Schizosaccharomyces pombe: one gene and its partners. The protein of the gene in region 3 interacts with the protein of the main gene of each other region in a biochemical or structural test. Each region holds a gene or a part of one and is shown on either strand. Other genes may lie near its edges. The genes, in order: est1, tel1 and ccq1.

Region 1 (10,767 bases), on a different chromosome or scaffold from region 3:
TTCTAGCCGGTCACCGTACACTTGGAAATCTGCTTCTCAGGTTTCCTATAATGCCTCGCTGTTGATTAACTGGTGTCATCAAAAGGGTATTAGTTATGTTAACTCGTCACTATTGCCTTTAATGCAGTCTCCTTTGGTATTTTGCCTTCGTAAAAACGATGCAAACGATTTGGATGTTATTCTCTCTGTTTGTAATTTACTTTCGCCATTTGAAGTTGTATGCCTCCTAAATAGGTATCAGCCATGCGCTGGTGAAAATCCTCTACCAAAATCCTTTTCAAAAGCCGTAGAGGCATTATCTTGTAAGTATAAGCAATCTGGTTTTACAAATGGTAAAATCACAAACACTAATGGGCACGCTATTCCTATAGCTGCTTCTAAAAACCCTTTATTATCACTTGAAAATAATCATATATACGAAGAGCTTCGACTTTCAGAGTTGATAAACTTATTGGCTAAAGCTACATTATAAGCTTTTTATCAAGTATCATTAAACGTTACACCCGATCAATATTTTTAATTTATATTAGTACTCATTAATACTATATTCTTATCATTCTCTGTTAATTCAAAGCATCATATAGTAACTTCAGGAAAGCAATAAATTTAGTATTTTGGATATTTGATAAAATCGTTTGATCGATTCCGAAAATGGATGAGTAGTATAGTCGGGTGGGTTTATATTTAACTTTGGCCCTATAATGTCTTCGTTCAATCTTTTAAATAAACAAATGAAAGATTTGCATAATCCGAATTCATTGTAGTCCTCAAAAAGGTTTAACATTTTATTTTCTGAAGATTCTTTAAAAAACTTTTCACAAATTCTGAAATGATAACTCAATTGTTCTAATTCGTTCCGCTCAATGAATCCAAAAGCTGGAGAACTTTCAAGCACCCTTGCTAGTATCACCTTAATACTTGGTAAACAGGAAGTTAAGTAAGACGTTGGAGCACGCTCTGATTCAACTTCTTTAGCACAAGCAAGCGTTTGATGAAATAACCAAGAAGAAAATCGGTAATAGAAACTTCTCAGACGATCGTTACAGTTGAAATAACGACAGTGTAAAAGATTTGAAAAGGCAGATGATATGTAGTAAAGATTTTTTTTTTCATATCCTACATTTCTGATGTTCGACTGTAATAATGAATTCTCCAAATCCTTGACCATGATTGAGGGACATTTAAAAGGCTGAATTTCTTTTAACGAATGTATGCAACAGTCGGATATAATAAAAAGTAAAATCATCATGGGTGATACAAATTCAAAATGGACAGCGAAACAGCGTCTGTAAAATGCAATCAACTGTTTAAGCAAATTTAACAAAGCACTCTTGGGCGGGTCTTCAGAACATAAAGCCGATGAAAACCAATAAATAGACTCCACTATACATTCATCGGATGCCCAGACAACAGCAATTTGATTCCTATGCATTCCGTTTCCGGGTAATGTTCGATGAGCCAAATCATAAAACCCTAAAGCTCTATCATATGCGCCGCGTTTTTTGAGGCAAGTAGAAGAATATCTGGCCATATCCCCTAAATATATAAAACAATTATACACGCATTCTAATGCCTCCATATGGTTCCTTGAATACGAAGCTTCAGGAATTGATGACATTTCATCGTTTGAAATAGTCGAAGAAACAGTAGCTGATGATGTCCATTTACAAAAAAACGGTCTGTATGAATCCAATTGGAACTTAGATATTAGTTCACTTATGCAAGTCTGGTAAAAGATTGCACACGTTTTCAAGAATTTAAAGAAAACCTTTTTTGTCTTTTTTTTTTCAACAACGTGTCGAGGATGTATCTTAAAATTAATAATTGTCCCATACTTTAGTTTTTACTCACCTCTCTAAACCTACTTCTAAAATGTTGAATAATTTTATAATGGCAACATGACCATATAATATCTGGACGTTCAAAAGTATTTGTTTGAATACTTTTTAGACGATTTAACAGTTTCTTCTCAACTTCAATTTCAATTGCTATAATTTTCTCATATAAATCATGCTTAAAACCTCCTTGAGCTGCTTCACACAGCGCTTTGACGAGCTTTCCCTGCTCTTCACAAATTTCATTACTTGAAAGTTGTTGCGACATTAATTATAATATCGTCACATTTTAAGAAAAATATAAAAAATTATCAAAAACGTATTTCTGCAGCGTTGAGCGTGGAAATTAGACCACTTAAGTCACTTGACTTCTTCCTACTTGATATCTTATGCAAAAACCCTAAGCGTAATGACAATTCAGTATTAGAGAAAGAAAAATATGGTTCTATCAAATAAAATAGTAGGGAAAAAAAATATATATATGTATATATATAATATTTACATGTACGACAAATGATTGAAAACAACTTATGTGCTGTGCTCGGAGCAACCCTGTACTCAACAATTACAAAAATATCATTGTTTTGTTTAATATTCCGTATCCTTAACTAAATGCTAGCAATAAAGAGCTGAATTAGTTGCCATTTAGGCGTTTTTCAAGCGAAAAGCAATAATTTATAAGGTGCGCGCTTTAAGGTTCATCCTCAGATTCATGTCCATGCTCGAAAAGGTAATTAGCAGCAAGCTACAATTGTTAGTTGATAATTCAATAAATCAAAAAAAAAAAAAAAACACACCTCTTCATTTTTATCACAAGCTAAATAAGCCTGAATTACAATGTTTCTGTCGAAGCCAAGTTGACATAACTAAAAGCTTGTTAGATAGTTAAAACAAAAAAATAGAAATAACATACTCTATCAATACTCTCAGATTCTTCTTGAGTAATTTGAATCTGAATTCCACCAGAAGGTAAGGCAGACTCGCCTTCGGCACCCTCCGCCAATAATTGCAAAAATGCTTCAGGATTTTGCGTAATAGCTTGAGCCAATGCAGGATCTCCCTGCCCAATTTGTTGCAATATAGTTTCCAACATCTGTGGATTTTGTTGAACAATTTGTCTTAGCTGTTGAAATTGAGGAATGCTACGAAGGAAGCCTAGAGGGTCATCACCAACGGTATTAGAAGGTTGTTCTTGATTTTCATTTTCTGATAAAGCAGCTTGTTCAAAAAGATTCGCTGGCTGGCCAGTGGAAGTAGGAGCAAGGGCTTCGCTTTGCTGTTGCTGAGCAGCAAGGGCTGCAGCACTCTCTTCTCTCTGTCGATTGAGAATGTCTTCGGGAATACCAGTTAATAAGTATTCCACTGCCCGATCAGGGTTGTTAAAAGCGGCACGCATGGCTCTTTCAACTTCGCTGCGTTCGTATCCCATTTCTACCATATTTTCGACAGCAACATTTCGTTGAGCACCAACTGCCAATGTGTTGGCGTCTATTGGTGCTTCACTAGTGGCAGTAGTATCTGGGTTTGAAGGGGCAGCAGCAGCAACAGTTTGTGTAGTAGAGGTAGATTCCGCCACGGTAGAAGAAGGAGCTTCAACTTTCTTTTCAGGTACGGAAGCCGGAGGATTGGGGGCAGGACTGGCAGCTGATTTCGGAGTAGAGGTGGAAGTTTTGGGTCGTGAAACCATGCATACAATGAAATCCTGTTCTTTTATATTGTATTCGCCAACAGTTTTGTCATCAGCAAGGATTCGACCTATAAATTAGTATTTTACATATTAAAATTATGTTATATACCTGAGTAAATTAACTTTTGACGTTCGACTTCATAATTCTGTTGCGTTTGAATTTTTTCTTTTAATTCTGAAATCTGTTTACGTTAGAAAAATAATATGCCACAATTATCATACTTTGGTATCTGCAGAAACATCAGAAATAACAAATTTCTGCTGCTGTAGATTTTTGAATGTCAAATTCATTTTCAAAGCAAATTTGGCGTAGTGGGTAAATGTATAGTAATGAAAACCTCTTTGAAAAAACGTTGCATCAGAGAATAATTGTCAAGGTAGCAAACAAACACCATACACAAGTAACATTATTTGGTATCATCGCATTGTTTATCATAAAATGTGAATGAAAAATCTAAAAAGCAAAACAGTTTGGTTTATTTGAACCTAAAATTTAATGTAAGAAAATATTTCATTTGTTTGAAAGTGTTGTGAGTGAAACATTTACCTCGTTTCCAAGTCCATTAGTACTCAATACAGTGTATTAGTTTATTCTTTATTCTTTAATTTACTATATATATATATATTTTTCTGTTGGATTATTCATTCTCATTTTCTATTTATTTACAGAACGATCGCTAATAAATTTATATATATTAATTATGATTTGTTTATTTAAGTTAGCAATGACCGTTACAATAGCAGATTTTTATTTACAAGTTTGACTTTTGAATTATGTTCCGATAGTTTTTCGCTCCTCCGTGGGCAACTAACTAGTAAACAAATGCTACAATAAGGTTGTTTAACTCATGAATATAGAAGTATATGATACGTAGAGTTGTTTATTAATCAGTATCCATATATATATATTTTTTATAGAATTTTCAACTAATAATTGGGATACGATACATATGTTAAACTAATATGAATAGCGTAGACACTTTGCTTAAACGAGATATATACATTTGTTTATTTCATTGATTTTTTTTTTAGCTATTTGGACAGCTACATCAGAATTTGAAAGCAGCGCCTTTGGTTTATACAATCCATTACCTTTGTCAGAGAAAGTATAAGGAAAGCGGAGAGAAAAAAGTCAACGTATATGTAAACTTCCGGATGCTTTCTAATTTTACATATTCTTCCAAATAAAACCCCAAATACTATCCCAAACTATGATAGCCGCTAAACACATAAATATATTTCATTAAAGACTCTCATACGAAAAATGCTGTAAACATATCATTAAAATATGCTAAGCTGCAATAACGAGTCAGGCCCAACATCTCTTTGGTAGACTTCACGAAGATCCACAGTCCAACAACGAAGCTTTACCAATTTAATTTAATCTCCGTTTGCATTATTAAAATATGTCTAAAGGTCCAGGAGATTTTAAGAAGTCTTGGAATGGGTTTGCTGCTCAAACGCCACAAAATACTCCATCTTCAGATGTACATCTTAGTAAGGCCGCATTAGAAAAAGCTAGACAAACCTTGCAATCACAACTGGAGGACAAATCAGCACATGATGAAGTTAGCGGGTTATTGCGCAACAATCCGGCCATGTTATCAATGATTGAGGGACGCCTTAGCTCGTTGGTTGGAAAGTCGTCGGGATATATAGAGAGCCTTGCGCCAGCAGTCCAAAATCGTATTACAGCATTGAAAGGCCTTCAAAAAGATTGTGATGCAATTCAATATGAATTTCGTCAAAAAATGTTAGATCTGGAAACAAAATACGAGAAAAAATATCAACCTATTTTCTCTAGAAGAGCCGAAATTATCAAGGGTGTTTCTGAACCAGTGGACGACGAATTAGATCACGAGGAAGAAATATTTCAAAATAATCTTCCAGATCCTAAGGGAATTCCCGAATTTTGGCTGACTTGTCTTCATAATGTTTTCTTGGTTGGCGAAATGATAACACCAGAAGATGAAAATGTCTTGCGATCACTCAGCGACATTCGTTTTACCAACCTTTCGGGAGATGTTCATGGTTACAAACTAGAATTCGAATTTGACTCAAATGATTACTTTACAAACAAGATTTTAACGAAAACTTATTACTATAAAGATGATTTAAGTCCTTCGGGTGAGTTTTTGTATGATCATGCTGAGGGTGATAAGATTAATTGGATCAAGCCTGAAAAAAATTTAACGGTTAGAGTGGAGACAAAAAAACAACGTAACCGTAAAACAAATCAAACTAGATTGGTCCGTACTACGGTCCCTAATGACAGTTTTTTCAACTTTTTCTCACCTCCTCAGTTGGACGATGATGAATCTGATGATGGTTTGGATGACAAAACAGAGCTTTTAGAACTCGACTATCAATTGGGAGAAGTCTTTAAAGATCAAATCATACCCTTGGCAATTGACTGTTTCTTAGAAGAAGGTGACTTGAGCGATTTTAACCAAATGGATGAAGAAGACTCTGAAGACGCATATACTGATGAGGAGGATCTGTCTTCAGATGACGAAGAAATTTTGAGTAGCGAAATTAGTGATTGATATTTATATTGTGTTCGTTAGATTATGAGTAAGTTCAATGTGAGCAAAAATGAGAAATTGACGCTGAATGATAATTTCGCTTATAGTTTGGTAAGTTTATTGTGGCTTAAAAAATTAAAATGTTGATTTACGTCGTAGTATCCTATAAAATATTTAATAAGCGGATCTAAGTTAGGATTTGTCTTTAAAATTTCAATTTGTTTTCTTGTCTTTTTAAATTTTGAATTTTTTTTTCCAATGCAGGTATAAAAAATATACTAAGTAATTTTTTATCATTCTGTGAGTATATTCTACTTACATGGTTCCTTTTTTAATAGCTAGTATTAGGTTAGTACGCGCATTATTTGAAGCTGTGGTGTTATTTATTAGCATTTGCTTTTCTAAAATGATAATGCGGACAGCCAGCAAAAAGTAAGCGGCTATTACTATAACTATCTGCAATAGCTTTTTCTATTTATTTTATACGTCAAAGCTAGATCTGTTCGTACATTAATTAACAATCTTTAAGTGCATTGTTAGCTCACACCGAGTTTATATGATAAGGTATAAGAACTAGTACTAGGTTGGAAGAACTACAACTAATAACGGTTCTGACAATAAATCACTACCTCTTGTAACTCTAAGTTTAGTTACTTCGATTGTCAAAACGTAATTATTATATGAACACAAGTAGAGATGTCTATTCATTCTCTTCACCAATCTTTCAAAAGAATTATATTGAATACCTCTAATTTGTTGCTGAGACCTAAAACAATTGCTTTTCAAACAGCAGGAACCCATCTTTTGCTACATATGTTTACCTTACTAATGAGAAGTTATGAGCTGCAAATAATAACACTGCGATGCTACTAATGTCATTAAGTTAGCTTTAGCGTTGTTTACCTTCGTTAACTAGAGGTTTTACAGATTGTTTCGAACTCGTAAAAATTTTTAGCGTTGCAGAATTGTGTTCGTAGTCACACCAACTGTAATCCTCTCTGCTATCCTAAAAATTTTACAGACCCATTACCTACCACAAAAAAAAATAATGGCATATACACCAGGTTCAAGAGGTGGACGAGGTGGCTCTAGAGGAGGCCGTGGTGGTTTCAATGGTGGCCGTGGTGGTTTCGGCGGTGGCCGTGGAGGTGCCAGAGGAGGAGGACGCGGTGGTGCTCGTGGCGGTCGTGGCGGTCGTGGAGGTGCCAGAGGAGGCCGCGGTGGTTCTAGCGGTGGCCGTGGTGGAGCCAAAGGAGGTGCTAAAGTTATTATTGAGCCTCATCGTCATGCAGGTGTCTTCATTGCTCGCGGAAAAGAAGATTTGCTTGTCACCCGCAATCTGGTGCCTGGTGAATCAGTATACAATGAAAAACGTATTAGCGTTGATTCCCCAGATGGTACCAAAGTTGAATACCGTGTATGGAATCCTTTCCGTTCTAAACTTGCCGCAGGTATTTTGGGCGGTTTAGACAACATCTATATTAAACCTGGTGCACGTGTTTTATATCTTGGTGCTGCTAACGGTACATCCGTTTCTCACGTTGCTGATGTTGTTGGTCCTGAGGGTCTTGTCTACGCTGTTGAGTTTTCTCATCGTTCTGGACGTGATCTTCTTAACATGGCTAAAAAGCGCACGAATGTCATCCCCATTGTTGAGGATGCTCGCCATGTTCAAAAGTATCGTATGTTAGTCGGAATGGTTGACGTTGTTTTTGCAGACGTTGCTCAACCCGATCAGGCTCGTATCGTTGCTTTGAACGCCGCCGCCTTTTTGAAAAACGAAGGTGGAGTTGTTATCTCTGTTAAGGCTTCTTGTATTGATTCTACCGCTGATGCAGCTGTTGTTTTTGCTCGTGAGGTTAAGAAAATGCAAGAGGAAAAGATTAAACCTCAAGAACAACTTACTTTAGAGCCTTACGAACGTGATCACTGTATCATCGTAGGAAAATACTTGAGACATCAGTAAACAGAAATATATGCCATAAGTGCATGCTTTTTTAGTTTATCATATAATTTTTTTTGCTAGAAAAGCTTATGGTAAGGCCGTGAGCAATTGGAATAATAAAAATATATTTTGGGTATGCGTTTGGCAGTTTTGTCAATTATTTTCTCATTGTTTGATCCAATATGGGAATTATGGAATATATATTAATGCCGTTAGCATTCTTTTTTTTGAACTATCGTACGCACAGCTACCGAAAAAGAGTTTTAGTATGAGTATTTAAAATGGCTATCATTATTTTTAGCTGCTAAAAAGAGTTATGTGCTTTATCGCATGCTAAAACATAACAGGGTCTTTGAAATAAATCATCTTATTATAATACTGAAAAAACTTAGTAGACATAAAGAACAATATTTAATTTATGTAACCTTTGGGATTATAAATAAGGATAAGTCTTATAATTCCAAAGGGGAGTTTTACGTCTTCCTTTTGCAGCAAAAGATATCCCATTATTGTATTCTGAAGGCAACTTGAAATAGTTTTCTAAATCTTTAAAGTGATATTCATGGGATTTGCTCCATTTTGGATTTTTGGTCTTTGTAATAAGTTGAGCATTAACACCTTCAACAAAATCAGGCTGTTTAAGCATATAATAGGAAACGATATGATCATAGTAAAATGCTTCAGATATACTCCACTTAGCAGCAGACTTAATAAGTCGATTGGTAACAGCAATTGAAGTCGGAGATTTGCTATACAATGTTTTAACGGTAGATTTTGCAAATTCCGCTAAAGCACTAGTGTTTGAAGCATATTCTTTTAACGCACGAATAATATCAACGGTATCATTTTTGCAGAAGCATTTATTAATGACATCCATAACGTCTGGAGTAAAAGTGGGTGGTGAACTGCTAGCAAATTCGGCAAATTCCAGGATTGTATTATTGATTTTAGAAATATCAGACGTGTTTAACTCTGCAAGCCTGTCCTCCAAATGAGGAAACATATGCTTCGGAACGAAATGAGTTGCAATTCCAGTACGCAGGCAATCATATCCTTTTACGATTTGAGATGTCAATCCCAGATAAGTTCCAAAGTATCCTGGTAGTCTACTGAAGAAGAAACTGGCAGCCACGTCAGTAAAATAGCCAATTCCGGTTTCTGGCATAGCAAACATCGTATCTTCACACGCAATACGGAAAGGAACATGCATAGCCAAACCAGATCCACCTCCCATGGTGATGCCATTCATCAAAGCCACAACTGGTTTCTGGTATGTAGCTAACGTATGGCTTAATCGATACTCTTGAGCAAATGCATGGCGAACTTCAGGTAATTTTCCATCTTGTATTGAAAGTGCTGCAGCTTTAATGTCACCTCCCGAACTAAAAGAGCGACCATTTCCTTTAAGAATAATTACCTTGGCCAGATTTGATTCTTCTAATGAAACTAGCTTTGGTAGGATTGAATCTATCATGTCAACGTTGATAGCGTTCAATACTTTTGGCCTGTTTAAAGTAAATATCCTTGCTCCATTTTTACTCTCGTATAAAACTGTATCATTTGAGGAAGTGCTATAAAATTTTGGATTTCGAATAAACGCTCTAGACATGGTGCTACTTGCATTCAAAGAAAGGAAATTTGACACACTTGTTTTAAGTAAGGATTGCCTTAACATAAATCCAGATTTTTTCAAATCGTTAGAGATATTTAATTTCAATCCCATGAAAGCTAACCAAGTTAAATAACACCGATTATTTTTGCATAGACGGTTAACGTCTCTTCTACGTTACTTTATAACGAAGTGTGTTCTTAATTGTGAACTAATAACAAATCACAAAAGACCATTCGTAAAACAAAGTAGGTTTCCATGCATTAGCTGGGCAAATACTTGTCTCAAAAAATCTATATTTAGTATTAATTTAGTTTCTCAGGGTTTGTCGATTTTAAAAGTCTTAAACCACTTGTTGCATAGCATTGAGTACTCAAAACTGTTATTGTAATACACAGGTGCTATTTGCAACAACAATTTAAGGTGTCAGAATGAGCAAATTCCAAATATTTAATGTACGACATCACATAGTATAAATAATTATTTCTTCTATTTTAGGTAATGAATGAGATATCATTAATTTATCTAACAGTATACAGTCATAAAGTTCCTGTTGCATAAAACAACGTAATTTAATGAACTCGATACTTTACGCTTTACGATACTTTTGAATGCACAATATGTTATAATGAAATGCATTGTGATACTTAGTACATTGTGTTAGACTAATTGAAAGTAAAATACATCCATTCTTCAGGTACTAGTCGTCCATTTCACAAACTAATCAGAATGACAGCAAAAATGTTGCACTTGGTGCGATATAAATTTCCGTCGTTGGAGCCCGCGAGTCTTTTTCTTATTCCCGGAAGTTTCCTGCAAGAAAGATTTCGTCGAGATATTTTGCATCGTGCCGTTATTTATGAAGCAGATAATGACCGTCAAGGCACTGCTAGCTCAAAGCGCCGAAATGAAATTACTTGTTCCGGTCGAAAACTTTATCGACAAAAAGGTACAGGACATGCACGGGTAGGCGATGCCTCAAGTCCTATAAGAAGAGGTGGTGCTAAATCACATGGTCCTAAGCCTAGAGATTTCAGTACAAAATTACAAACCCAAGTTTATAATTTAGCAATGAGGATTGCGCTAAGTACAAGATTTATTAATAATGAACTGACCATCCTTGAAAATCCCATCAACTTAAGTCAACCAAAAACACGGATTTTGCT
Region 2 (11,221 bases), 210 kb from region 3:
TGGAGGTATACCAGAAACTCGTTCTATTCAGTCATAAGTATAACTCACTTTTTTTTGAATAAGAAACATTTTATGGATCATACAACACAGATTTCTCTTTCATTTCTCATGCACAGTACAAATAAACATGGAAGAATAAACGCGCAGAATCTTGCTTCCTTCTTTTGGTTTTTGCATATTTTATTGCATTTCTAAACTCAAGCTTTTCTTTTATAATGATTCTTCCTTTTGGCTAATACAAATATGAATTTTACTATCGTTTATTTCACTTTTTTTGATTCTTGTTTGAGTATTTTTATATAACGTTCTCCTTTTTTCGCACTATCTTATTTAGTGTATCCTTGAGATGCTCATCGCGGACGATTCGGCTCCGAAGACGGTACATACCGGTGTTTCTTACGTTTGCTCATCCTTCAGTCACCCTGCCATTGTAACAATCCAACTACCATATATATACAAAGCGAGCAACGCAAGTATATCTAGTGGTACTACGCTGAATATCGCTTATTCCTAAAGAAAATTGGTTGTTTTGAGAATTATTATATTACTTTTTCCTTTACAAACTTTTTTGCTAAAACTGTTGTTTAGCAGTTATTGAGATTGTTAGAGAAATAACGTTAGAAAACGTGCATATGCAGAAGTTGGATTGTTTCGGAATTGCTCCGATTGAAATACTCTAAATATATCTGACATTTGTTCTTTGCATTTCTGTCTGCGCCTTATCTTTAGAGATCAGACACGTTTCTTTGAATATAATCTAACTTGCTTGCATGTTAAATTGGTCGAAACAGAGATAAAAGATATCCTGGAATTCATGGTAAACCATCGAGATCTCTTACTAAAAATAGAGAAAAAAGAAAAGAGTTAAGTATTTCGAACCCTATAGTAATTTAAGTCTTGGGAAAATACCTTTTTTCATTTAATTCCATTATTTCTAATTTCCTTTGATATTTCTTCTTTTACGGTGAAAAGAATACCCTTTGCAATCTAAACTGTTAATAGTTTATTCAAAACCAACATTCGTTAATTTTATCGATACAAAACCACGATGAAAGATTCGGAACATCACCATCATGGCCACAACGGCTTTAGTAAGTTTCTCCATAAACTTGGTTTTGGCAAGTCAAAAGGAAAATCGCATAAAAGCAATACCAGCAGTATTCATGAAAGAGAAAATACTGCTGCCAAAGGACCCGCCTCTAATGTGCGTCCTGCTCGCCCTAATGTTAGCACATCTTCCACTTCGAACGAGGTCAGAAAATCTGTACCTGTTGGTAATCCTACTGTACATACCAAAACAGGGTCTTCTTCATCTCCTGCCTCAAAGATGAGAAATACAGTCAACTTGCAGCATATTCAAGCAGCTAACCAAAAAACTCGTAATGCTGAAGGTGAAAGAAAGGTCGCTCAACGCAGGGTCCAATCTGATAAAGCTGAAGCTAATGATGCAGCCATGAGTAGTTCAGCTCCAACGGTAGATGTTTCCGAAGGTAATTCTGCCGCTGAACCAAAAATTACACCCGATGATTCAGATACACCCAGACTTAATGTAGATATGAATGATAAAATAAATGTCGATGAAGCTGCTGCTAAATCTGATAGCAAACTTAATGTCGATCAGATTAATTCTACTACGGAATCTGAAAAAAGAGTTGAGAAAGTTAATCCAAATATTGCGAATAATCCGCTAAAATCACCGGATGCAGTAGCATATAGCAGTGAGACGGTTTCTGATGAAAAACAACCTACTGAGCATCCTGTATCTGCTAATGTCCCTGCAAAATCTGAAAAAGCTGTTTGTGATGAAAATACCAAAATTTCGCTTACAAACACAGAGCATTACAAGTTTCATTCACTTCGCGGAGACGTTGAAGTTGTTGTTGGTGATTTGGAACGTGACGGAAGAGATACCTCTTTAGGCGATGCTTCGGTAAATGAAGCCGCTAAAGAAACTGACGTCGACTCTAGTCGTTTTATTTCAGATGAAAAAGCCGTGACTGAGGATGCGATGAAAACTGAACATGCCTCCAATGCCCCTCTCACTGATGAAAGGCATTTTCAGTTCCATTCTTCTGAAGGAGACATTGAAGGAATCGTTGGGACAATGCAGCGCCAAAGACAATCTGTCTCTTCGTATGACACTATCGTTCCTAGCCAATTCTATAAACAGAAGGTGGTGCAAAATAGCCCCCCAAGCTTGTTGAGCACTGATAACAAAATTCCAGAATCCGGCTCAGATCATCCCTCAAGTCAAGATAATTCCAGTAAAGCATCCTTGGTAGAAAACTCTCAGACACAATCATCTACTCCGAGAAAGCCGTTGCCAACTACCACTAGTCCTAAAGTAAATCCGGAACCGCATAGCGAAAGTATATCTGACACACGACCTTCTACTCCTAGAAAAGTGCCACCAAGTACAGTTCCTAAAATGAACCCGAAGCTCCAGGGTGGCAATAGCGTTACAGCCCCTTCCACCCCTAGTAAAGTGTTGCCAGCGATGAGTCCCAAGGTGGCTCCCAAATTCCAAGGTGGACGCAGCAGTACAGCGCCCTCTACTCCTAATAAGGTATTACCAGCAGCATCTGCTAAAGCTGCTCCAAAGCTTCAAGAAAAAGCTGCATCATTTGACATTCCTAATAAATCTACTATTATCTCTACTAAGTCAACGGTAGCATCGCCAATTAAAGCAAATGAGAACAGTCCTGCCTTGAAGTCTAAAGCATCTTTTGAGTTCCCTAAGGAATTAGATCCTGATGGTACTTGGAATGCACCAATTCCTTATCCTGATGCAAATTGTCCTATGGCTCCCACTTATCGGAATTTGACTTCTGAACAAGAAGAAATGTATGAAGAAGTACTTAAATATTGTTTGGAATTAAAAGAGATTCCTGTAGCGTCTAATTCTAGCAAGAAAACGGATTTGATTGAGTTGGAGCGTCTTTGGCTAACACGCGAATGCATCCTTAGATATTTGCGTGCTACTAAATGGCACGTTTCCAATGCAAAAAAGCGTATTGTTGATACTTTGGTATGGCGTCGTCACTTCGGTGTTAATAATATGGATCCTGATGAAATCCAAGAGGAGAATGCAACTGGTAAGCAAGTATTGCTAGGTTACGACAAGGACGGTCGTCCCTGTTTATACCTATATCCAGCTAGGCAAAACACTAAAACCTCACCACTGCAGATTCGGCATCTGGTTTTTTCATTGGAGTGTGCTATTGATCTTATGCCTCCAGGAGTAGAGACATTGGCTTTGTTGATTAATTTCAAGTCTTCGTCCAATCGTTCAAATCCCAGCGTTGGTCAAGGTAAAGAGGTACTGAATATTTTGCAAACTCATTATTGTGAGCGTCTTGGAAGAGCACTTGTTATTAATATTCCTTGGGCTGTATGGGGTTTTTTTAAATTGATATCTCCATTTATTGACCCTATTACACGAGAGAAGTTAAAGTTCAATGAACCGTTGGATCGTTATGTCCCTAAGGATCAATTAGATTCGAATTTTGGTGGATCTCTTCATTTTGAATATCATCATGAGAAGTACTGGCCCCAGTTGGTGGAATTGTGCAAGTCACGTCGTCTTGGCATCTTGGAAAAATGGAGGAAGATGGGATCTAAAATAGGTACAAGCGAATGGGATTTGAAGGGTGGAGAGGAATATGTTGAATTAATGCAACAGTATGTACGTCCTTCATTGACAAATCGTTCATCTTCTCCAACTGTTACTCCAACTGTAAATACTGATAGACAGCCAAAGACTTTAACCAATAGTGCTGATGAGCTCTCTCCTCAAAAAAGACGAGTTGAGAATCCTAAGCCCGTTGTCAAAGATGAGGGGCCTGTTTCTATCGTTGAAGATGAGGAATCGACGCCTGTTGTTACAAAAAAGGAGGACTCTATTCCTGTTGCTCAATCCACCAAAGCTGATGCTGGGCTCGATGCCGAGAATGATCTTCTTCCCAAATCTGGTTCCGGTGTTTCAGAAACACCAGCTTTTTCGCATGCACGAGATGTTTCTACGGCTTCATTTAGCGACGCTGTTTCGTTTATCACCGCGGATAGCATAGAATAGTTTTTCTTAAGCTCTCGAAACCTCTTCACTCTTTTCTCTTATACTTTATTCGCAATTGAGCTAGTTCTATGATTTCTTTTTTTACAGCCTTGAAAACTTTTAATAGAGGGCTTTTGAATAATTCGGTGCTGAAAAAAGAAAATCCACTATTACTGTACATATTTAGCTAACAGTAGAGTCATTGATATTTCCAAAGAAGATCATTTGTTTTAATTCCTTTTTTCTTATATAGTTGATAGTTTCGTGCTTTTTAGTTTCAATAAGAAGAATTACCACACTTCAATTTATAACTTGGCATCTGTAAAATTCGTACACGCTAAATGAACCTTCCAAATTCCAAAAGTTGGAGACGCGTAACCTTTTACTCAATTATCAGTTTACGCCAAATATGTTAATATATTAATGAAGAAAAGATAACTTTTACTCGATGTAATACTATGACTTCTCTAAATGACATCGTTAATAAGTTGTCTTCATCAAAAATCAAAACACGATCAGATGCTCTACAAAATCTTCGCAGCTACATAATTTACTCCAGAAATGGAAATTCGCTAAATCAGGAAGATGCTTTAATAATCGAAAAGGCCATAAAGCGAGCATTCGAACTTGAATGGCAAATTTCTGCTAATCATGGTAAACGTCAAATTTCCAAAGCTTCCCAAGAGCAGAAGCTTCAAGATATTAGCTATTTGTTAAGAACATGTGTTGAATCTTATATTTTATTATTTAGGGAGCCTCATATTTTAGCGCTTCTAGATATAATTCTAAGACATACTTTCACAGCTAATGGTTCTATATGTGAGGTAGTCTGTTTGAATTTTTCTAAGGCTCTTCGGCTACTATTATCCCATTCTCCTCATTTGCATCATCTTCGTTTCTCGGATTGGCAATCACTAGTTTCCTATTGTTGTCAAGCTATTGAAAAACTAAGTATAGCTGAAGAAACTTATGTTAGTGATAGTGAAGAAGAGCCAATAAGCCAAAAAAACTATCAAGAAATATCTATCTGGAAATCGCACGATGTTATAAGAGTAAAGCAAGAAGTCGTTGAGCTCATTTACGTTATGCGTTCTCTTGTTCAATGGTATGCGGCTCCAATTAATTTTGTTAGTGAGCAACTGCTGAAATTTTTTGAGTTCTTTTTTTATGCTTACACGGAAGAAACAGATGCGCATCTACCAGCTTTGCAGTGTTTGTTTCAGTTATGTGCATATGCGATCCCCAATTGTAATGATTATTCCGCAAGCGTTGTTTTATTAGTCTTTAAGATTCTTATAAACTCTGATAAATGGAAGCGTCTGGATTTAAGATTGCAGCTTATACAATGCTTAGCCATTTCTTATCCACTTTGGTCCAATTCAGAAACATGGGATCCCCATCGTTCCATTAGATCTTTTAATTTAGATCTTCTTAACTCTTCGTTTTTTTCTTTAAAAAATTTCTTAAATTTTTTTGGAAAACGCTCCTCATTATCGCTTGCGAATTTTAGATTCCATACAGTTGAGCCTAAGAACAACATTGCAAAACTTTACGATCCACGGCTACACCTTTTTTTTTCTCTTAGACATAATTCTTTCTTTGAATCTTACTTTATTTATTTTTTTCTTGCAAAACTAATTCTCCTCAAAAAAACCGTGTTGTCCTTAGCAAGCACGGAGCAAGCCAACAAAAAGCAGAAAACATGTTCTCAAATAGAGGAACTGCTTTTGCAAGCTGAGCTAGCCAATATCTCGGCTTCCTCTTTTTCATTGCAACTCATGGTAATTATCACTGCTATTTCTGACAATCTAACAAACGATGATCTATTGTCAATTCAAAAAATGAGTCTTAACTTTACTGAGAAAAAAAATGAACTTCAAAGCTGGTCTTTTTTTATATTGTTCAACATTTGTTACAACAAAGCTTACTCTTCGATGCTTACGACTTCATGTAAAAAGGAAATTTTGGCTGCTGCTTCTCGTGGTCTCCTGAATTCTGTTACGTCTCCTGTATGCTATCAAATTTTAACTTATTTTAACATGTATCGGCCTTTGTGCTTCGCGAGCATTTTTCCTTTCATAAAGCAACAGTTTATTTTATTTAATGATTACTCGCCAATGCTTTCATATGAAGCCATTGATTACTGGAAATCTCTGTACATATTACTTAATGAAAACCTATTTGTTGGTCAAAGCTCTTTTAAATCTGTGTTTCTAAAATGGTTGAAGTGGCATCTATATCATTTGTTCAGCAAAGAGGGTGAACTACCATTTTTCTCATTTACCGATTCTTCTATTATCATTTTTGATTTGTTAATGATGATCTTCTATAGACCGTTGTCATTATCTTATATCACCACAGAAATACGATCACCTTTCGAACGTAATTTGTTTCACCTCAAAGAAGCATGGTCGCCTGTTACGCTTCGTTTTCCTTATACTACTGACGAAATATGTAAACAGTCTACAGAAGGATGCTATCCTTTCAATAGTAACCATACTATTGACTGTGATAGTTTGCAAAATGTCATTAAAATGTTGGAGAGCTCGATAGACGAAATTAGCTCAGCATCTTATGACAAAGATGAGCTTGACAAGGAAACCCCAAGCTTCGAAGCAGTTATGATATTTTCTCAGATATCATTTTTATGTGGCTTTCTAAATTGTTTTATCCAGAAAAAAGGTATTCATAATGTTACTCCTAACAATCTTGTCATTTTTAAAAATTTATTCCCTGAAGTCCTTTCTTTCGTTAAGTCTAATCACAGTTATGACCCAATAATAAATTGCATCTCTACTAATTTGCAGTTTACTATTTCTGATGAGCCAAAACATCTTCGGTATGAAATTGGAAGCGACTTAATTCGTTCAACTCATTTTCGAGACAGTAATCCGCTCAAAACCTTGGTTCTTTATATAATGGATATGGCTTCTAAAAACGTATTCATAAAGCCTCAAGAATTTGATCACGATGAGTATTTCTCCCAGGAGGAAGAAGATATTTATCGGCCAGAAAATTTAATCAGGAATCATCAAATACTTGGTTTGATGGAAGGATCGCTTGAGCAAATACGGAATACTGATCTTTTTATTTTACAAAAATATATCGACTACTTTTCTAGTCATCCTCATGACAGCTTAATTAATATTCTTCATTTGTATCCCATTGAAACTTTTTGTTTTGGTATGTCTGCAATTGGTGCATATTTCCTAGATGTTGCGCGGACATCCGAACCTATTTTCTACAAATGTCTTGAAATACTGGCTCAAAAAATTTTAATGAATTATGATTATGAAAGAGACGAAGTCTATCTAATGATTTTTATTAAAATATTTCAAAAATGTGTTCATTCTAAACTTCAGTTCACGGACGCAACTTTGAAACTTATTGTGAAGATTACAAAATTCATTGAAAAGGTTTTTATTGAGACTAAATTTTCATCATTATCTGGTAGACAAACTTTTTTAAAATTTATATTTCAGTTATCCCCTACATCTCACGTTTATTCAAAATTCGATTATCAAAAATTGATTTCTTTAACTCTTAAAGACTCTGATGTTTGTGTTATTTATAACTTTGTTGACGATTTGGTGATTTTTCTTAAAAAATGTGATAAAACGTTAATTGAAGGTTTTGTTCTCCCAATTTTAAGCATTAAAATTGAGAAGTCATTGTATAAAGGCTTCTGCTATTTATATTTGACTTTAAAGGTTTTTTTGTCAATAAGTTCCAATCGATCAGCATTGTTGTATCAGCTGCTTAAGCTTGCAAACAGCTATGAAACGTCAACTATTTTTGAACCTTTGCTTCGTAAGCTTCACATTCAGAGTGCAAATATTAAGCAACTGTTTCGAATATACAGGTTAGAGATATTTTGGTCATTCGTCAGCAAAGATCTTTCTAATACAACCAATGACTTTCTAGAATTCCCCTACAAACCAATTTATTTCAGCCTTTCCGATTTTTTAAAAGAAAACAGCGACGAAATTATACTTGTTCTTATTCTGACTAAGAATATAACCTTGGCTAAACTCATTACTTCACGCATGTCTGTTGATTTTTCTGAAAAGTATACGCAATTGATCCCTGTTATAACAACTTATACTCATCTAAGTGAAGTAGAGAATAAAAAGTATTCGTTGAGATTTAATTCTATTGATGAAGCACTTGATGTGGAATTACTCAACCGCTCCAAAGCTTTTTTGTTCTGCTTAGAGATGCTTAAAGAGGTTAAAGAATTAGGCTCTACTTTTAAATCTATAAGCTCAACTTCGTTTAAGGTGTACTCACAATTAACAATTTTTGCCAATCGCGTCTCTTTTAACAATAGCACAGCGATACCATTCTTTTCTACAAAATCTGTGTTATGGTATTGCAATAGACTCTTCCAAGAATTAGAGGGCTTCTCCTCTATCCCTTCAGTCATTGATTTAGTTTTAAGGAGACTTGCAATACAACTACACTTTGCGACGGATGAAGAACTTCAAGTTACTATTTCTTTTAGATTGTGTGCTTTTCTATGTTTCTCTGATCCTTTTATCACTTCAAACTATTTGGTAATGATAGTACTTAGGATAGCTAGACAATTACTCTCAATACCTTGTACCCAATCACTAGGATTAGGAATTGCGCGCTTTCATTTGAAAAAATTCAAACCTACTGATTTTGATTATTTCTTTCAACTAGCCGAATTCTGTATGGACTTTTTGGGTTTTTGCTACAACACTATTGGTACGAAGATGGAGGCTATCCAAGATTTTTATACTTGGTTTGATGGTTACGTTACTGCTTTACTAAATTTTGAGTATGAAGGTTATGGATTTTTACGCTGTCAAATAAACTTTGTACGTTCAGTGATGACAACCAAAAATGAATGGATAGAGGTTTCAAATAAACTGTTCGAAAGAGGTCACTTTCTTAAGAGAATCGCAATGAATAATTATCTTTGTCTCTACTTTTGGCAAGTCCTCGATGCTTGTCCCAGAAATGTTTTACACTCCTTAAGCCTTGAAATTTGGAAATGTTACAAAGCATACGATATTACTGAATTTCCTGACTCTTTGAAGCTCTTTTTTTCAGACATCATGGGCTGGAATTTTTTCAAATCTCCGGAAATTGCTGATCTCAATCATTATATACCCAAAACCGATCCTCGATTATGCGATACTAAAACTTATGAAGAATCAAAACTTATTATTTGGAAATTGATATGTCAAAAAGCATGTTCTCTTTTATTTAAATATGACATTTTATTAGATTCATTCATTGAGGATTGCATTAGGATGTTCTTTGAAAATGGTAATCACCAAGAGCTTAGAAAATTTTTAAATTTTCCAAAAGATAGTATCATCTACGATAGTGATTTCAAGACTCTTGTTTCTGAGGAAGGTTCTTTTCAATGGGTAAAATTACAACCCACAAATTTTGATTCTTTGTCAAATTGGACTAAGGAAGAGACGCTGAAATTATTAAATATGATGGGAAAATCATCAACAACACATTCTCTAAAATTGCTGAGTACTTACATGGTGGGGTTTTCAACTTCAATTATTCAATATATTATACATTTGATTCTGTTGGAGTTTGATTTTAATGGTAACAACAAAAAGCAAAAGGAGTATGTAACACAACTGATCTTATCTGGTTTGTTAAATAAAAATACAAATAGTATTCGAAAGACTTGCATGAATATTTTATTATACCTTCGTCGGCAATTAGGGCATCATGCTCTTAATCCATTTGAAGCAAACTACTGGGTTCCCATTAATTACAGTGTTGCAGCATCAACTGCTTATGATTGCCATTTGTATGAACAGAGTCTACTTTTCTTGACAATACATAATACAAAAACAGATGAATTGGACATCACCCTTTTATCGGACATTCTTTCCCAACTGCCTTGTCCGGATGCTTATTACGGAATAAAACGCGAAACTAGCTTCAAAAATATTTTGCTCAAGGCGGTGCATGAAAAGCGGAGCCCATTAGCCATTTCGTACCTCGATGCTGCAAATATGTATCGAAGCAATGAAGATGAGGGGACTAAGATGATGTTTTCAAATACTCTTAATAACGCTGGATTCTTTAGCTTGAATGAATTTTACATCGATTCACTCAAAGCCAATGATGCTATTGATGAATGCAGCAACGAAGTGTATGCTTCTGCTTGGCGGATGCAAAAATGGGATATCCCTCCACTTTCTTTGGACAATAAGACTACTAAGGATTGTTTGGTTTTTGAGGTATTACATGCAGTGCATAACTACGCTATTTACGGTAATTATTTGCACCTCGAAGAATACATTAACAAAAAATTATTACTAATTAATCCCAACGAGGAACCCGATAGTCTACTATTTTATGCTTTGGCTTATGATTTGAAGTTTTTAATACGATGCAATCAGTCTCAGTTTAATTGTGATATCCTTCAATTGCTTAAGGAGAATAAGCAAATGTCATCACAGTTACATGAATGTTTTCAGTTATTACTTGAAATTAGAAACGTCCTACTTTCCTTGCTACAGTCACACAAACAACTGGACTTGTCTGACGATCTAGCCTCATTTCGCAAGTACTATATCTTGGAACTCTTAAAGATTAGCGAGTCTTTTTTAATAGTTGACAACCTTCAAAATGCATTTTCCGTGGCTATGTTAAGTGATGCTCTTTATCGAAAGTTTGATTTGGCAGATGAAAACCTTAAGCACGATATAGATTTTCTTTCATCTAAAATCTTATGGCAACGTGATGAAAAGATTGATGCCATTGGCATGCTCTCCGAATCACTTTCAAAAACAAATTCGTCCATTTTTCCATCTATTAGCTATGCATATCTTGGAAACTGGTTGTATACAACAAAATCCGAAAAGACTGAATTAGTCTCAAAAAATTATTTTGAGAAATCCCTTTCCCATATGTCACACTTGAACGCCAAAGAAAAAGCTAAAATTTATTGTATGTTTGCTCAATTTTGCGACAATAATTATTCTAGCCCGGATCTGACTGAAGATTTCAAGCGTATGGAAAAGCTTTATTTTGAGAAAAAGAATGATATCCAACAGTTAGAGCGTTCCATTGTAAATGCTTCTAATATGAAGGAAGAAAAAATGCTAAAAAACCATCATTCTAGGGAAATGTCTTCATTTATCATTGATGAACGCGAATATT
Region 3 (6,666 bases):
CCCAGGAAAAATTCATCGATACAAAACTACGTCTTGCAGCTCGCACACAGTATCCAGAAAGCATTTTCAGCGTTATTAAATTCTGTGTGGTGGATTTTGATAACAATAGAGTTGTCTATTTGAATGATGAAGACATTACATATGATGTTGTTGAAAAACTAAACGGTACATTGGCTTTGGATCGTGCTAAGAAAGATAGTAAGAAGCCGAATATACTCGACCGTGCTATTCAGATGAAAAATTAGTATTTAAAGGCTTTACAATCCTTGCTGGTTGTTTGGTCCTTACCTGTTGAGCATAAGGTGCATGAAGTTTTATACAGGTTCGATATTGCGAGCATAACAAAATGATATGAAGCATAAAAAATTATTTCATCAATGTTGATATTGCATCTTTTGAGGATGCATATTCGAATTTGATACAATTAAAATCTTTCAAAAACAAATTCAAAATTAATGACATAGATCATTGAATCTAGTATGTAACGAAATGTCTAACTTCTTGATGAATATATGAAGAAAACCAATATATTTTTGCAACTGTTGAAAAATTAATACAATTAAAATTGTTTCATTAAAAGCTGATTACGACATAATTTAATCAAATAACCGTATGACTAAACGAACTTTTTATAGTTGATTCCACTGAAGTTCTTGATCGTTAATGATTTAGTTAGAATCAATAATCCTTGGTGATTGATTATGTGGAGTAAATTTGGGAAGAGACTTCTGCTCTAAAATTTTTAAGGTCTCCTCCAGAGAAGAGACCTTAGCGAGTAATGCTTCTACCCTTGAATCATTATAAACTTTTACCTCTTCCATAACTTTAGAATTTATAGCTTGTAAGCGCTTACATTCAGCTTGAAGTTTCGCAACCTCTTTGCTTTGCTCAGCAGCAAAAGTAGATGCATTTTGATATTGATTAGTAATGAAATCAGCGTCTTCTTTCTGTGTTTTTAACAGTTGAGTAAGTTTGTAATTTTTTTCGTTGGCTTCAATTAATTTGCCTTGTAGATCTTCATTCGAAAATTCTTGTACATATTTAAAGCCAAATTCTTGTTGCTTAGCTAAGTGGGTAAGCTCTTTTTTAAGGTTTGCGATTTCTTCAACCTTCTCAACTTCTAGCTTTGAAAGGTCTTCATTCTTTTTCTTCGATTTCTCCAAATCCAGCTTGAGCTCTCGAACAGTGTTTCTGTATTCTTGTAAATTATCCGTCAGCTTAGAAATTTGCTGCTCCAACTCCTCTGAGCGACTTTGTTGTACGTTTTTGGAATTAATGGCTTCGTGTAATTCATCTTCTACCATTCTTAAACGACGCTGCAGGTATTGGACAGCTGCACCTTGGAGATCATAATTATTGGAAAGTTCTACCTCATCAGCTTCCTGTTGAGAAAAAAAGTTTTTCTTTAGTGAGCTTGATGACAGTAAATCGGTGGCATTACTTGTTAAAGAGTGGAGTTTGGAAGGTGATTGCATGCTTTGCGACGAAGGAAATGTACTATCAGATGATTTGACAAAAGTATCGTTCACCTGAGAAACAGAAGGCTGAGAATCCCTTGGTTCTGCAACCGATAAGCTTGCTAAATCCATTAGAGGAGGTAGTGGCCAAGAAGAGAAGTTTTCTCCATTTTTTAACCAGGTCGCAACATTTTTAGCAATATCTCGAGTTTTTTCTGTAATAGAAGAGTGAGATTCTGAGCCTAGGATTTCCTCAAAGTTCCCAGATTTCTCAAACAAAGTGCTCAAATTTGAAGCTTCTGAATTTTCCTCGGAAGAAGAACTAAGAGTGGCAACCACACCCACAATGTTCACTAAAAATGAGGCATTGTAAGATGATTGAAAACATTTTATGGCATGTTCTATAGATCCCAAGTGAATGAGCCTAAGGACAAGGCTTTGAATAGAGGGCAAGGAACTAGTGACACTCATGTATGCTTCGATATCATAAAAAATGGTTGCACTCAAATCTGGGCAAGATTGAAGAAAATGAGAAGCGGAGGGAGCCTTTTTGGACACACAAATCCAAATTGCTGGATGTTGGCTAGTCTTTGCATCCTCTTCAGCCCATAACTCAGCATCAATGTTTTGAGATTTTAGCCATTGAGTAAGTGTGTTTGCAAGAAATTGGTTGGAGATAAATAAAAAAAATGTCTTAGAATAAGAGGGGGAAAGATTTTTGAATAATTCTTGCAAAAAAAGAAATTTTGAAGAATTTTCGGCATATGAAGAGAAATTAGAAGCATCTAAAGAAACGTGGGAATTAGTGGATTCAGCAGCGGAGGGATTTCGAACTTCAGTATCATACAGACTAGGATGCTTTGCAATGTTATGAGCAGATTGAATAAAAAGACGTATTTTTTCTTGGATTCTTGAATCGCTAGGACCAGTACAAAAATGGTCAATACAAAAGGCAAAGTATTGAACCAACCGATGCATCATTTTCCTTTGAAGCGCAGACATTGGAAGGCCAATATCTAGCACGCTGAACGAGGATTTAGAAGATTTAGTAATAGATTCTTCCGAAGAATCAAAGGCAGTGTCATTTTGCAAAGGAATAGGAAATAACTGCTGGGTAGAAGGGAATTCATCGACCTCTTGAGTTAAAAAGTCATTTTCAGAGTGATCCAAATCAGTCCGTAAAAATTTTTCTATCTCTCTTTGTTTGGATGCAGGTTCTTCATTACGCATGCAACTTAGAGGCTCTTCCAATTTTCTCTTATGGCCTGCTAATTTTAGAAGCCATACATCTTCCAACGGGCTAGGGCAATCCTCTTTGGCAATCCATCTATTACTGGAATTCACCTCAGAGTAAACCTCGTATTTCGTATCACTTTCATTGATAATAATTGAATTCGTAAAGTCGTTAATTTCGCTCATACTGCCATCCACGTTAAAATTCAACAAGAAATTGAATGTTTAAATATTGCAACACGAGACCAATTTAGCGTCCGAAAAGAAATAATTTTCGCACGTTTAGAGGAATTAGATGGTCTAAAAAGAGTCTTTTATTATCGTTTTTACAAATAACCACCCAAATGTTGTTCCCAGAATTCCGTGTTCGCCTTTAAATTTGTACATATTTTTACGAAATACACTGTGTAGCGGAAAATGTTTACAGCATTTAAAAGAGCTCTAATTACTTTTTTTCATATAACAAATCTTTATTTTAATAAAGTAACGCGTCACCTCTCTATTTAAGTCTATTATGTAAACAAATATAACTATTCACCCATAACGCGTAGTAAATGTTATTTCTTTTTCAAATTTTGTGTTAAGGGGTTAACGATTCTTTATCTTTAGTCTTATATTGAAAAAACAGCTAATTGCAATTCATTCTGGCTCTTATAAGGACTTGGAAGTGCTTTCCTTCGTGAAGTTTGGAAAAACTGGATCTTAAGACTAATTGCTGGATTAACGCACGAAAAATTCCAAAAAAGTTTAAGGTGAATAAGAACATACGCCTGAAAAATATATAAAAAGTTTCAAATATCAATCTTTTAGATCTTTTTCTATTAGCGTCTTAAAACACAAACTACAGCAAGTATGAATCAAAAGATTGTGGGACAAAGTTAGCCACCACGGAATTTACGATTCGTGTTTCTATTACAAATGTGAGAAAGAGAAGCATCAATAATTGTCAGGACCTAGTCAAACACTTTTACACATGAGTATAATCTTAATAAGTATTTTATTTTTTAAGATTATACCTACTGAACTTTTGCTATAGATTAATTCTAAAATATTATACAAACAAGGTATTATATAGGAATGCTGTGCTGCGCTATCCTGTCGATATATCACCTATACTGAAAACAATAAAAAGCTTGCAGGCGAAATAACTCGGTATTAAACTCAGTGAAAATATTTTTTAAAAAGATAATATCAAACTCTTCTTTACTTCATCTTTAGGCATTTATCATATTGCCTCAATTGTCTATTGACTTTTCGCTTGAAGACACTGCATGTCCTTAACGACTTCATCCTCTACCAACCACATTTGACGAACTTCAAATTGCCTGGTTGGAAGTTTTTAATCTGACAAAATGGTTTTTGCAGATTTAGGGCGTCGTTTGAACTCTGCGTTAGGGGACTTTTCTAAGGCCACTTCAGTGAATGAAGAGGTATGTTTTATTCTATCGAAAATTTGTTCTCATACGGAGAGTGAGCCATGTCATTTATAAAAATATTTAATACATCTTTGCTTGATTTCTTCAAAAATTTTGCATTTGCCATGTTTTACACGCTGTATATGAACATCGTTTCATGCTTTACGAAATTTGTCGATAAGAAAAATCATCTACCACAGATATGCTTTTCTAGTTGCGTAGCTGGTTTATCCAATCTCTTATATATATATATCTTGATTGCATATTGGGATTATCTTCGTTTACATCGACGTTACCTTGACATGAAAATTTAAAACCCTTTTTAATAATGCAATGTTAGATTTTGGTTTCAAGTTACTAAAAGGGTTTACTTACCAAGCAACTTTTAGGCAGCTGAAGATTTTTTTAATGACCTCTAGTTTGTTTTCCCAATGTTCTGTTTTGATTAGGATATCTATCGTTTTAATACGAACCTTTACTAATAATTTTATTTAGCTTGTCGATACTCTGCTGAAAAATATATGTACGGCACTTTTGGAAACAGATGTTAATGTGCGATTGGTTCAAGAATTACGTTCAAATATTAAGAAAAAAATCAATGTATCAACTTTGCCTCAGGGTATAAATGGGAAGCGAATCGTCCAGAAGGCTGTCTTTGATGAACTTTGCAGTTTGGTTGACCCTAAAGTTGATGCTTTTACTCCTAAAAAAGGGAGACCTTCAGTGATCATGATGGTAGGTTTACAAGGCAGTGGTAAAACGACAACATGCTCAAAGCTTGCTCTGCACTACCAAAGGAGAGGTTTGAAATCGTGTTTGGTTGCTGCCGATACTTTCCGTGCTGGTGCTTTTGATCAATTAAAGCAGAATGCTATCAAAGCACGTGTTCCTTACTTTGGTAGTTACACCGAGACTGACCCAGTCGTTATTGCCAAGGAAGGTGTTGATAAGTTCAAAAACGATAGATTTGACGTTATCATCGTTGATACATCTGGTAGGCATCAGCAGGAGCAGGAGTTGTTTGCTGAGATGGTGGAAATTTCAGACGCTATTCGCCCAGATCAAACAATTATGATTTTAGATGCTAGCATTGGTCAAGCTGCCGAATCTCAAAGCAAAGCGTTTAAAGAGACTGCTGACTTTGGCGCTGTAATAATCACAAAATTGGACGGACATGCCAAAGGTGGTGGTGCTTTATCCGCCGTGGCTGCGACTAAGACACCCATCGTGTTCATTGGTACCGGTGAACATATTAATGATTTGGAGCGCTTTTCTCCACGTTCTTTTATCTCAAAGCTACTCGGACTCGGTGATCTTGAAGGTCTGATGGAACACGTTCAGTCTTTAGATTTTGATAAAAAGAATATGGTTAAAAATCTTGAGCAAGGAAAGTTTACGGTCCGAGACTTTCGAGATCAACTCGGAAATATTATGAAATTGGGACCACTTAGTAAAATGGCTAGTATGATTCCAGGCATGAGTAATATGATGAACGGTATGAATGATGAGGAGGGATCTTTGCGTATGAAGCGTATGCTCTACATCGTTGATTCAATGACCGAACAAGAGTTAGATTCGGATGGTCTTCTATTTGTTGAACAACCCTCTCGTGTTTTACGTGTTGCAAGGGGTAGTGGTACAAGCGTTTTAGAGGTAGAAGAAACCATTTCTCAGGTCCGAGTATTTGCGCAAATGGCGAAAAAGATAGGAGGAAAAGATGGAATTTTGGGTAAACTTGGTGGAAATCCAGCCGCAGCTCTCAAAAAAGACCCTCGTCAACTTGCAGCTATGCAGAAAAGAATGCAAGCCATGGGTATGGGGGGAGGAATGCCTGGCCTCAATCCAGGTTCTATGAACTTTGGTGATATTTCAAAAATGGCTAACATGTTGATGGGAGGCGGAGGTCCCGGAGGGGCAGGTGGTATGGATTTCAGCGGTATGCTCAATCAATTTCAAAATATGCAAAAGCCTCCTCGAAGACGTTAGTTTACTTCCCTCGTTATTATAATGTACTCACATATGGCATATTTTACTCTAATACCTTATTTACTGTTTTATAAAAATATATGCATTAAAAATTCATCGTCCTTCTCGTTTTCCTTTTTCTTTCCCTAATTACTTAACGTTTGCTTTTATAATTGTGTAAAATTTGTTTCTATTTCTACTGAAGAGCTAGCAAAGTTTGCTAAACCGTAAACGTGAAGCATCCTTGTATGATTGCTCTCGACAATTATTTGCAGATTTCTTAAGAGCTCGGTTAGCTTATGTTAATTGCTCTTGCTTCGTAAAATGAGAATTGGATTTATTGTATATTAATAATGGTAGTGTATTGAGAACATAGTTTTTTAGCCGATTAGGATTAAGTTTTGGGTTTTCTCATTCTATGCAATCACATGAAAAAGCTTCTTGAAAGTTTCAAATTTGTGCTTTATTAATCTAATTACTAGTTTGAACAATGAAGGATACCTAAAAATAGGCCAAAAGGCTTGTACGTAGAAAGCATAAATTAGAACTAACGGCAACTGGAAGCTATATTTGAACAGAATGCAGAGATGAACTTA

Evidence for each region.
Region 1: the proteins of ccq1 (region 3) and est1 interact in a test that uses a peptide from one of them, tested with the Schizosaccharomyces pombe proteins (one study listed by BioGRID).
Region 2: of the proteins of ccq1 (region 3) and tel1, one has a biochemical effect on the other in vitro, tested with the Schizosaccharomyces pombe proteins (one study listed by BioGRID).

Annotation. Positions count from the first base shown.
Region 1 is NC_003423.3:2,980,010-2,990,776, reverse strand, and holds est1 (telomerase regulator Est1), read right to left. Parts: upstream 2,192-10,767; 5' UTR 2,104-2,191; coding exon 1,852-2,103; exon of another isoform or gene 1,811-1,851; coding exon 590-1,810; 3' UTR 501-589; downstream 1-500. Other genes in the region: myo51 (myosin type V), read left to right, coding at 7-472; UV excision repair protein rhp23, read right to left, coding at 2,527-2,580, 2,633-2,701, 2,749-3,590, 3,632-3,704, 3,745-3,813; nucleosome assembly protein Nap2, read left to right, coding at 4,929-6,068; fib1 (fibrillarin, rRNA and histone methyltransferase), read left to right, coding at 7,096-8,013; snr1 (mitochondrial 37S ribosomal protein mS47 ), read right to left, coding at 8,426-9,715; yml6 (mitochondrial 54S ribosomal protein uL4m), read left to right, coding at 10,331-10,767. UniProt on the Schizosaccharomyces pombe protein: Directly involved in telomere replication. Associates with telomerase and during its interaction with trt1, telomerase activity is promoted.
Region 2 is NC_003421.2:1,270,727-1,281,947, reverse strand, and holds the start of tel1 (ATM checkpoint kinase), read left to right. Parts: upstream 1-4,406; 5' UTR 4,407-4,512; coding exon 4,513-11,221. Other genes in the region: DNA replication factor A subunit Ssb3, read left to right, coding at 1-62; pdr16 (sec14 family protein), read left to right, coding at 1,049-4,075. UniProt on the Schizosaccharomyces pombe protein: Serine/threonine protein kinase which activates checkpoint signaling upon genotoxic stresses such as ionizing radiation (IR), ultraviolet light (UV), or DNA replication stalling, thereby acting as a DNA damage sensor.
Region 3 is NC_003421.2:1,482,513-1,489,178, reverse strand, and holds ccq1 (shelterin complex HEAT repeat subunit Ccq1), read right to left. Parts: upstream 3,040-6,666; 5' UTR 2,877-3,039; coding exon 669-2,876; 3' UTR 501-668; downstream 1-500. Other genes in the region: ubiquitin hydrolase Ubp5, read left to right, coding at 1-245; signal recognition particle subunit Srp54, read left to right, coding at 4,043-4,120, 4,601-6,091. UniProt on the Schizosaccharomyces pombe protein: Component of the meiotic bouquet that facilitates meiotic nuclear reorganization of the telomeres to the centrosome. Links telomeres to the meiotic centrosome component pcp1. Essential for the formation of normal telomere clusters during meiotic prophase.